3 linked regions of the Ovis aries genome follow. The protein of the gene in region 1 binds, or shares a complex with, the protein of each later gene. Links are inferred from orthologs where the notes say so. Each region holds a gene or a part of one and is shown in the gene's direction. Other genes may lie near its edges. The genes, in order: B9D2, TMEM107 and CEP290.

Evidence for each region.
Region 2: B9D2 (region 1) and TMEM107 share a complex: the UniProt entries of both Homo sapiens proteins name them as parts of the tectonic-like complex. The link is inferred for Ovis aries from reciprocal best matches to the Homo sapiens genes B9D2 and TMEM107.
Region 3: B9D2 (region 1) and CEP290 share a complex: the UniProt entries of both Homo sapiens proteins name them as parts of the tectonic-like complex. The link is inferred for Ovis aries from reciprocal best matches to the Homo sapiens genes B9D2 and CEP290.

Annotation. Positions count from the first base shown.
Region 1 is NC_056067.1:50,068,633-50,072,383, reverse strand, and holds the start of B9D2 (B9 domain-containing protein 2), read left to right. Parts: upstream 1-995; 5' UTR 996-1,193; exon of another isoform or gene 1,194-1,201; intron 1,202-1,615; 5' UTR 1,616-1,619; coding exon 1,620-1,707; intron 1,708-3,751. UniProt on the Homo sapiens protein: Component of the tectonic-like complex, a complex localized at the transition zone of primary cilia and acting as a barrier that prevents diffusion of transmembrane proteins between the cilia and plasma membranes.
Region 2 is NC_056064.1:27,637,194-27,640,944, reverse strand, and holds the start of TMEM107 (transmembrane protein 107), read left to right. Parts: upstream 1-845; 5' UTR 846-1,002; coding exon 1,003-1,089; intron 1,090-1,247; coding exon 1,248-1,315; intron 1,316-1,416; coding exon 1,417-1,517; intron 1,518-2,251; coding exon 2,252-2,348; intron 2,349-2,582; coding exon 2,583-2,652; 3' UTR 2,653-3,751. UniProt on the Homo sapiens protein: Plays a role in cilia formation and embryonic patterning. Requires for normal Sonic hedgehog (Shh) signaling in the neural tube and acts in combination with GLI2 and GLI3 to pattern ventral and intermediate neuronal cell types.
Region 3 is NC_056056.1:124,381,178-124,384,828, reverse strand, and holds part of CEP290 (centrosomal protein of 290 kDa), read left to right. Parts: coding exon 1-16; intron 17-780; coding exon 781-945; intron 946-1,933; coding exon 1,934-2,041; intron 2,042-2,754; coding exon 2,755-2,889; intron 2,890-3,651. UniProt on the Homo sapiens protein: Involved in early and late steps in cilia formation. Its association with CCP110 is required for inhibition of primary cilia formation by CCP110.

The DNA of each region.
Region 1 (3,751 bases):
CTGTCAGGAGGTAGGCCTGCTGTTCTAAGGGCATCTCCCTCCCGAATAAACTCTATCCTCCTCTCATTCTGCCTCATGTCTGGAAATACCTTTCTAACCTGCACACAATCCACGACACTATCCTATTGAAATGTTGCCCCCCTCCCTATCACTTTGAGCTGGTGACTCTTAACTTTTGCTGTTCCCGTTTTACAATAAGTAGGGGAATAAGTTCCCTTTGGACTCCTGGTCTGGGCTGGAGGAATAAGGCAGGAACTAAGGTTCAACTGAACTTGGAGGGTGGAGAAGGTACTGCTCAGGAAATCAGAACGTGAGTGCCTGACTCAGTCACTCCACTTGGGGTCATGACATGGATGAGATAACTGAGACTTAGAGCTGTGCAGGGTCCTGTTACTGACAGAGTCCAGCCTTCAAAAACAGGATTTTCTGCAGATAAAGTGGCCTCAGTTCCTCATTTCTCTTACCCCTTCCCCCACCCCACCCACTCATTGCTCAGAATCAGCACTAACAATGAAGAAATGGGCGGTATTTCTGAGAAGGAAGTTGGATTTATCAGTCTTTGAGGAGCTTGGGGGAACTCTAAAAAGGAACCCCGCCAACCAGATGAAGTTTATTTCCAGTTAGGAGGCAAAGGGATGCATCCAAACTTGTGAGATTCCCCCGTAGCTCTGGCTCAAGTCTGTCTTGCGGTCCCTGTTGAGAGACAGTTTGAGGGGTAATGGGGCATGGATGGATTTGCTTATTCTGTTATACGAATATCTGAGACAGACAGTGTTCAAACTTCTTCGCCGCGCACAACATGGCCACAACCGGGCCACGCCGCAAATGGCTGAACCTTGGGTCGTGGCTGGAGAGACTTCTTACCCAAAAATGGAAACGGGTGGGGAAGAAAAAATGTCAATCACAGCATAGTCCCGCCCCGCCAAGTGCCGCTAGGGCCAATTAGCAACCCGCAGGGCGGGTGCAAGGCCAGGGGAGGAGGCTGCCGTTGCCCCAGCAACAACCTGGGAGGCAGGAGGCGGGCGCGGTCTCGGAGAGATCTGCGCCTCAGCTCTCTCGCTGCCAGGAGTGTCTTAGGAAAGGCGTGAGCCAGACCTGGGAAGTCAGCGCCTGCGGAGAGAGGGACAGGTCAGGCCCATGAACTCCAATCCCCGCCAGCGCTCTCGCCTCTCCTAACCGTTAGGTATTCTGAGGTAGGAATAAGGCATGCGCGAACTCACAGGCGGAGCTAAGGCGCCCAGCAACGCATGCGCCTCATGGACTTGGGGGGGCGGAAATCTGACGTGGGAGGAGGAGCTTTTGTGTTGTGGGCGGAGCCACTTGGGCCCCTGGGGCGGGACTTTCCGCGGCGTTGAGCCTAGGGAGTTATTTTAGAGGCAGGCAGAGTAACGCGCCAGCTCCTTGGAGCGTCCATTTCTCGCCCCTCATTTTTCTGAGACTCTCCTGGAGGGGCAGTTAGTATCATGGTTGAAACCGCAACCTCAGTGGTTTGACGAAACTAGCTTGGAATCCCACGTATTGCTCCTTACTTGGTGGGCCTCAGTCTTCCCTTCTATTAGGTGGAGATAATTGTACACTTTTCTCATAAGGCTGTGATTATATTTTCCCCTTTCAGGGCAATGGCTGAGGTGCACGTGATCGGACAGATCATGGGGGCCACCGGTTTCTCGGAAAGTAGCCTGTTCTGCAAGTGGGGCGTCCACACAGGTATTCCCCGACATGGTTCATTTCCCCACCGAAACCTCTCAGTCTAGCTGCTCCACCTTCTTTCCTTGACCCCTTGGCTCAATCCCTGGTCCTTAGCTTCCGTCAGTTCTCAGGACTCCTATCCCTGACCACATTCTGTTCATGCGAGTCTCAGGCTCCCTTCTTATCCCTTCCCATCCCACCTCTGGGAACTCTTGAGTTCCAGTCTCTCAATACACATTCCCTGAGGGCTTCCTATGGTGGTGCTAGTGGTAAAGAACCTGCCTGTCAATGCAAGAGACATAAGAGACATGGGTTTGATCCCTGGGTCTGGAAGATCCCGTGAAGGAGGGCATGGCAACCCACTCCAGTATTCTTGCCTGGAGAATCCCATGGACAGAGGAGCCTGGTAGGCTACAGTCTATAGGGTCACAAAGAGTCGGACATGACTGAAGTGATTTAGCACACACAGCAAGGATAGGGGACTATAGGCTTGACACACCCGCCTACCCCCAGCACACACTCCCAATCCTCAAAACACTTAAAACCCCAACAACACTATTTGGCTTCCATTCACTGTCTTAGAGGTGCTTTGGCCTTGGGTGACTCCCCCATCTTAATTCTTTGCTTTGCCATCTCCATTTATTGAATTCTTAAGGTGAAATGGAAGTTTCCATCTTGCAACTAAGACGAGAGACCACCCTCCTGTATTCATATTTCTCTGTGAAAACGTAGGAACCTGGTTCTGATCGTCATCCAAGTCCATCCACATAAGCCCAAGAGGGACCGTGGAGGTCCCAGTTTTCATGCCTTTCCATCAGAGGCAGTAGAGGGTTGGTGGTTAGTGTGATAGGGCCACAGGTCACCAAGTCTGGGCTCAGATACAAACTCTCTTACCTATTAATTGGGAGCCTTTGGACTTGACCTTTTTGAGCCTGTTTCCTTGTCTGAAAATGAAGCTAATAGCACCTAAGAGGCAGCAGAGTACTAAGAGGTTAAGAGCAGAGACTACCTGGATTCAAAACCAGCTCCTCTTTATTAATTATGTGACCTTGGGCACTTGTCTTTGCCTTGATTTCCCTGTCAGTACAATGGGAATAATAACACTGTATACCTCATGGGGTTGTTGTGAGGACTACATGAATATCAACAGCCCTTAGAAGAGAACCTGGATTTGTAAGTCCTCGTAAGTGTTGCCTGGCTTGTGTAACAGCTGGATGGGCTCTTGTTTCTAAGCCTGGGATATGTTGTCTAGCAGAGATACATGTCCATGAAATGAGTGTGCCCATTGCCATCATCATCTTTTTAGGTCCAGAGTCCTTTGTGATTTCGCTGGTGGATAGACTAGTGGCTGAGATTCCCTGGGAAACTGGGATCCTCCAGTTGAGTGAATAAGACAAGCCTGGAATCAACTCGGTTTCCAGCGCCCTACCACTCATCTGTTCTGTGACCCTGCCTCAGTTTCCTGGTCCGTAAAATGGGACTATTTGTCCTTCATAGCAGTGTCAGGAAGTCTTGTATGTGAGAATCCTGACTCAGGGTCTGTTGCTTTCCTCACTTGGCCCAGAAGGGAGCAGTAACCAACATGATTTTTATTATTTCAGGGGGCTCTTCGCCAGGGAGAGGAGGTTAGTTATGCAAGAGAGAGCCGAGAGGCAGTCAGATAAGGGGCTTGGTCTCTGCTATCAGTCAGAACTCTATTTGAGGAACTTCGCTGGTGGTTAAGACTCCACACTTCCACTGCAGGGGATGCAGGTTCGATCCCTGGTCGAGAAACTAAGATCCCTGCATGCTTCGAGGCGCGGTCAAAAACAAATAACAAACAAACCAGAAACAAACCAGAGCTCCATTTGAATTAGCACCACTGTGGGACTTGGTCTGCTGCGGTCCTGCTGTAGCCTCAGCATGGAGAACAGTGCTTGGCACAGAGAAGGTATTCGGTAAAGGTTTGTGGAATGAATGACCAAGTGCCATTCCTTCTCAGAGTCTGTTTCTTTACCTGTAAGATGAGGATTGTATTAGCCCCCACCTCCTAGGATCATTTCTTTGTCCAGCAAACACGTAT
Region 2 (3,751 bases), on another chromosome or scaffold:
ATCACCTTTAAGGTCCGAAGGTCCGTGAGGTCCCAATCGTGAGAAATGCTTGGACTATAGCTGGGCAAAGAGACTCTGCTGGTCACACCTCCAAGAGATAAGGAAATCGTAGACTCTGAATTTCCGCCTTCGACTCTTGCCTCCCAGGGACGCGGGGTTTCATTCTCTTCCTCCACTCCCTTTTCTGGTCCCGTACGTCCACTTCCTTCCCGCAACACGCCTCTCATCCACACCCTAGTTCAGGAGAGGGGCTCTTTTCTGTACTCTGCAAATCCCTCACCAATCTGAGCGAGCTGGGTGGGTGGTTGGGTGGGGAATCAGAATCAAGGAAAGTTCAGGTATACGGTCCGCCAACAACCAGGGGCTCCAGGACAATAAAGGGGCATCCACCTCTCCAAGTTCGGCCTAGGTCAAGGAGAAGCTACACGGATGCGGGGGATGGAAGAAAAGACAGTGTCCAGGGCTCGGGCATGTTGACGCCCTAAGGCTGGAGTGGTGGTGACTGTGGTGTCTGGAGGATCATCTTGGGCAAAGTAGCAGGGGCTGGGGGCCAGGCCGCTCCCGGCATGGGGATACAGGGAGGAGCGAGTGTCCGAATTTCCGTTCGCCAGTGCTGTGTGGGCAGACTCGGCAATGGGGGGCCGCGCCACAACACACTCTCAGGCTGTGCAGACAACTCATCTGCACGCGGGAAGGCCGGCAGCTCGATTCTCCGCATCCGGTCGGGATCTGCACAGGTATTGTGGACCCGGAACAAAGTTTCCCAGAGGCCCGGAGGCGGCGCGATAATTTGCCGCTCTCGCGAGACTTTCAGAGGTCCCGTCGGAGCCATCGTTTTTGCGGTTACTAAGGCAACTGAGCGGTGCCAGCGTAAGCGGGAAAGCGGCGTACGTCGAATTTTTGTCTGCTAGCTTGGGAGACTTGAGGAGTGACCCTCCTTGAGCTTCCAGCCCCAGAGACAAACGGCCTCTGCTCCAGGCGGTACCTCTTCCCCTGGGAACCATGGGCCGGATCTCAGGGCTCGTGCCCTCTCGCTTTCTGACGCTCCTGGCGCATCTGGTGGTCGTCATCACCTTATTCTGGTCCAGGGTAAGACCCAGGGCCCTCTTCTCGTTCCTCCTTCCAATTTGGGGTGGTCCCAGCCCCACTCCACCCTTTCTCTCCCGGGGCCTTACACGGTGGGGTCTTCCCATATCCAGCCGCCAGACCCTCTTTCAACTTCTGTTTCTTTCTGCCCTGCTCCCTAGGACAGCAACATCCAGGCCTGCCTGCCTCTCAGATTCACCCCTGAAGAGTATGAGAAGCAGGACATTCAGTGAGCATGTGGGACAGGGTGGGCAGAATTAGGCAGTAGAGGGAGTGAAGGGGTCTTAGAAAAAGTTCAGAAGGCCTAAGCCACTTCCTTCTTTTCTGCAGGCTGGTGGCAGCGCTCTCTGTCACCCTAGCTCTCTTTGCAGTGGAGCTGGCTGGTTTCTTCTTAGGAGTTTCCATGTTCAACAGCACCCAGAGCCTCATCTGTATCCTTTCTACGTGTACTCCTTTCCTCCTCGCCCTTGTCCACCATAACGCCCTTCAGCCACTTAACTAGGCCTTTCTGGCACAATGGCGTTTGCTCTAGCAGGCAAACAGAATCCCTCCTGTGGAGAGATGTTAGGCAATGTGGAAGATTTAATACAATCTCTGATCACTTTTTGAGCTCCTGCTACTCACCAGGCACTGGAGATCTCAAGATGAGAGTACAACAGTTTTCTATCTTGAGGAAGAGGCAGATACACAGACATCTGCAATTCAGTGTGATAAGCACGGGTGCCATCAGATGTTAAGATACAAAGCACTATGGGAATGCCGAAGAGACAAAGGAAGTGAGGAAGATGGATCAGGGAAGGCTCTCAACACCAGGGTACTGGAGAGTGATCCCAGCAGTGTATTGTGTCACTGTGAGCATGTCTGTGTGCTTGGAGTAGATCAGGAGTCTACTACTTCACCTGAAGGATCCAAACTAGATATGGGATGGAGGTAGCTTGGTTTCCCAACAGGGCAGGCTCAGCTCTGGCCTCTACACATGGCCATCCTAAAACCCAAAAATCTGGGCTGCTGGCTCTGGCCTTTGCAGTGTGGTAAAGGGAGCAAGAGATGCCTTGCTCACCAGGAGCTGATTGTGAATGCAGATGCCAGGCCCATCACCGGCCTTTTCTGGCTCATCACTACCTGTTGACCCAAAGGCTTTCCTTGACTCTGGTGTATTCCCAAGCCATCGGGGCTCACTGTAGTGCATCTGTGGCCCTATCCTTCTTCATATTTGAGCGTTGGGAGTGCACCATGTATTGGTACATTTTTGTCTTTTGCAGGTATGGTAGCACCTAATGTTTGAGGATGGGGAAGGGAGGTTTACTTTAAATCTGAAGATTCCCCTACCCAGCCCTTTGTTCCATGTGTAACATACCAGATCCACTCAACATTCCCGAGTCTTTTTGAAGTCCTCCACTCCTACACTTCAGGGGGTCGGGGGGTGGGATCGCTGGCTTGGGGATCTGGGTATTTTTATTAGAAGAAACTCTGAACCCATCACCTGCCTTCCTCAGTGCCCTCCCGGCTGTCACCGAAATAACATTATTCATCAGCGTCTTTGGCCTGAAAAAGAAACCTTTCTGATATCTTCGTGACTGGAAGTAGGGATGAAGGCTGAAGGAGCGAAGGACTACTCACCCTTCCTGGAAGAGGGAGGCTTCAGCCCTCCTTCTAACACTGCGTTTGGTGAACGATGTCAGTGTTAGGGTAATTATCTCTCAAGTCTGGGATTATCTGTGTTTTGTTTACAGTCCTTTGTAATAAAATATATTTTAGGGTAAGATCAAACTTACAGGAATTCCTGCAGGAATTCCCTGGCTGTCCAGTGGTTAGGACCCCACGCCTCCACTGCAGCGGGTTCAGTCCCTGGTGGAGCAACCAAGATCCTGAATGCTAGGCAGCGTGGCCAAAAAAAAGAAAAAGAAAAAAATCAAGACAAAAATTTCAGGAGAAAATTGGGGTGGCCAAACTACTATAGAAACGGAAGGCTGTTTTCCAGCCTTGCACTGTAAGACCCTAAATGTCGCTTCTATTCTAGTTATTACGGTAGATTTCTGACGGAAGGGAGTGGGCGGAGATATGTAAATAAGGTTATACTTTAGTACCTCGAGCTCTTAAAGTGAGTGAAGCATTCTGGGAGGGATTAGCGTTTGCTTTTTGACAGCCAAATGGAAAAATTTATTTTAAAACATCTGCAAATAAATTGAACAACAGAAGTGGAAGAACCTGGATAGCTTTAGATGGCTCGAACTAACATGTCGTTTACTCACCCTACCTGTTAGCGGAGTCTTATTACCGGAGTACGGAATATTGCAGTCCTCTCGGTATCGTCAGGTAGGATAATCCTTACCTGTTCCTCCTTTTGGAGGGCAGAATAGAACATGATGATTGGAGCTCGCATGATTCGTGATTAACGGCTCTGCGTAATCAGGACTTGCAACACCCTGATTGCTCCTATCTGATTCTTCCTGGCGATCCGTGATGTTAATGTACTTTACGATTAGATTGAGTTTTTAGTACTGTCTCCTTAGTTGTACTTGAAGTAGCGTCGGGCACGACTGAGCGACTTCGCTTTCATTTTTCACCATGCGTTGGAGAAGACAATAGCAACCCACACCAGTGCTCTTGTCTGGAGAATTCTAGGGACCGGGGTGCCTGTTGGGTTGCCGTGTATGGGGCCGCA
Region 3 (3,651 bases), on another chromosome or scaffold:
CAGGGGAGCCCAAAAGGTAAAACACTGATTTTAAGTTCAGAAGAGTTTAATTTTCAGAAGAGTTACATAATAATTTTGAGTTAATATGTGCCTATGTGGAAAATGCTTAATATATGAGCAAAATTCCAGATATAATTTATTAATTTAGATTTTATAAATTAGGAGTTTGAGCTATTAGAATATCTGTTTATAAATAAAATGAGACTCCTCTAAGCCATAGTTTCAGTAGAAATGCTTAGATTGTAGTATCAAAGAATTTTAAACACTCTAGGAAAGTATATATTAATTAAATACTAACTAATTATTCTTAAACATTATAGTGATTAAACAAGTAGTAGGCCTACATTTATTTTTTAATGTAATTTTGTTTTTACTCTTATTTGGAAGGAATTAATGAAAAATAATTATTTTGAAATTAAATTTTATTCTCTAGGCTAGAAACATTTGGGATTTTTATTTATGAAAGTAAAACCAATGTTGCAATTACATACAAACACTAAGGACCCAACAAATACATGAAAGTAAATGAATAAATAAATGTGATTGTTAGTGATATCCATTTCAGCATCTTTTGAAAAATGCTTTATGTTAGGAGTCTACATATTAAAAAAGTCTATAGAAATTCTAAATAAACTTTTCTTTTTGGTACAACCAAGAATAATTTTATATCTTATTTTAGAATGTCCATTAATTTGAATTGAAATCATTAAAATCAGTAGAGAAATTCATTATTTATTAATATAGTATTAACATTTGTATATGTAATTTATAAATATTTAGGTAATCAGTTGGCACACAAAAATAGAAGAACTCCGTCTTCAAGAGCTTAAACTCAATCGAGAATTAGTCAAAGATAAAGAAGAAATAAAATATTTGAATAATATAATTTCTGAATATGAGAACACAATCCGTAGTCTGGAGGAAGAAATTGTGCAACAGAATAAGGTTTCATTTTATATTTATTTTGGTGTTTTGTTGCTAAGATTTTTAATATAACAACATTGCATTGATGACTGCCTTATTTTCCTAATCAAGTATAGCTTCTATTATCATTCTTATAAAATATTGTTTCTTATTTTTTAAACTATTCTAAAAATACATTATTCATTTATTTAGTTGCATTAGTTGTCTTAAAAGGAAGAATTCATAAACAAGTTTATTTGTTAAGTTAATTTTTGTTTCACTATTGGTTATTTGAATTCACCTTTACAAGTTTCTACTGCTGTCACTGAAGGAATAAGGCAGCTTGGTATAGAATAAAGAACAGAAGCTTTGGAGACAGATGCAGTTCACTAAGCAGATGCTTACTTGCCTTAGAAATTTTGTTGTTCCTTCTGCTTAAATTGTTCTTACCTAAGATACCAGTATTACTTCTGCTTTCACTGCCTTCTGATCTTACCTCTAATGTATTACCTTATCAATGAGACCTTCACTAGTTACCCAACACACAACAGTAAATTTTATCATCAAGATTCCTTAAATACGGATTACCTAGTTTCATTTTACTCCATAGCACTCATCGCCCTCGGACATATGACATACTTATTTGTTTACTATCTCCCCCTCAGTAGTATATAACTCCTGTGGTGAAGGGGACTTGGTTTTGTTTATTGCTGTGTTCTCATTGTCTCAAATAGTACTTGCCACATAGACTGTGTCATTAAACATGCTTTGGATGAATGAATGGATGGATGGATAAATGGATGGGTACATGGATGGGTTGAAATCCTGACTCCACACCTGCCTGTCCTTGTGATCTTAGGCAAAAATTACTTAATCTCTGAATTTTCTTCCTTTTTCCTTAAAATGAAAATAATAACAGTGACCTCAAATGGTTGTTGTGAGGATTAAAGAAGAAAAATGTATGTAAAAGTTCTTCTCATAGGCCTGGTGAGTGTCTCTGTGTGTGCATGACCCAACTATCCTTCTTTAGTTTCATGAAGAAAGACAGATGGCCTGGGATCAGAGAGAAGTTGAGCTGGAACGTCAACTAGATGTTTTTGACCGTCAGCAAAATGAAATACTAAGTGAAGCGCAAAAGGTATAAATGATTAATCCTATTTGCTACTCTATAGCAGGACCTATAATGTTAACCAGTAGAAATGTTTTCTAAGGTTGGATGGAATTTTATTTTTATTTTTCTGTTTTTTTTTTAATTGGAGGATAATTGCTTTACAGTGTTGCATTAGTCTCTGGTACACAACAGTGTGAGGCAGCTATCTGTATACATACGTCCCCTCCCTCCTAAGCCTCCCTCCCAGTCGCCACATCCTACCCCTCGAGGTTGTCACAGAGTACTGAGGTCAGCTCCCTGTGCCATACAGTAGTTTACCAGCATCTATCTATTTTACATGCGGTAGTATTTATACTCTTTCAATTCGTTCCACCCTCTCCTTCCCCTGCTGTGTCCACAGGTTCGTCCTCTACATCTGTGTCTCTATTCCTGACCTGCAGATAGGTTCATCAGTACCATTTTTCTAGCTTCCATGTATATGTGTTAATATACGATATGTGTTTTTCTCTTTCTGGCTTACTTCACTGTATGACAGACTGTAGGGGTCATCCACATGACTACAAATGACCCAATTTTCTTCTTTTTTATGGCTGAGTTGGAATTTTAATTGATGATATCTTTTTATGTGTCAACTATAAGTGAAATTTAACCATGTCTTGTCATATAGTTGTAAAAATTAATATTGTTATTTCCAATGTTGCAACTGCTCTTCTTTAAAAAAAAAATCTATTTCTCAATAGTTTGAAGAGGCTACAGGATCAATGCCAGACCCTAGTTTGCCCATTCCAAATCAACTTGAGATTGCTCTAAGAAAAATTAAGGAAAATATCAGAATAATCCTAGAAACCCAAGCAACTTGCAGATCACTGGAAGAGGTAATTAGAAGAATTTGCATATTGTTGTTGTTCAGTTGGCAAGTCTGACCCTGTCTGACTCTTTGTGACCTCATGGACTGTAGCATGCCAGGCTTCCTGGCCCCTCACCATCTCCTAGAGTTTGCTCAAGTTCATGTCCATTTCATTGGTGATGTCATCCAACCATCTTATCCTCTGTTGCCCTCTTCTCCTTGCATTTTGATAAGTATATTATTGGGTATACTTCTGGAATTTTATAAGTAATATTTTTAAATGAGGATGAAGCATAAAATGATGAATCTGTTGCTTATTCTACTCTACTTTTCTTTAGTCTTTGTTTTGCCAATAAAGAACAGTAGGTATGGCTAATTTGAAATCACTCTTCTTTTAGTCATTACTTATCACTTTTGGGCACACTCATCAGTTGCTAGCATGAAAGGAAACCAAAAGAGCATTTGACTGTAGCTTTATGAGCAATGTGTTTCCCTCCCTTCAATGATCAAGAATTGTTTTCATCCTTGTTTATTTTTATATTTTATTTTGAAGCATATGTTCTAAACTCTGGATCAATTTTTAGTTTACTTCTTTTCGTGGGTGGTTAAAGGGCTTGAAGGTAAACTAGGAGTTGTTTCTTAGTTTAATCTAGGTCTTAAATTTGGTTAATAGATGGTCAGATCTCTCTTTATTAAATTATACAGAAAATAGTATAAACTGAATATATTTAGATGTCAACTAAAATGAAAATCATATTACTATAAATACATTTAAAATAATTTTTTAAAT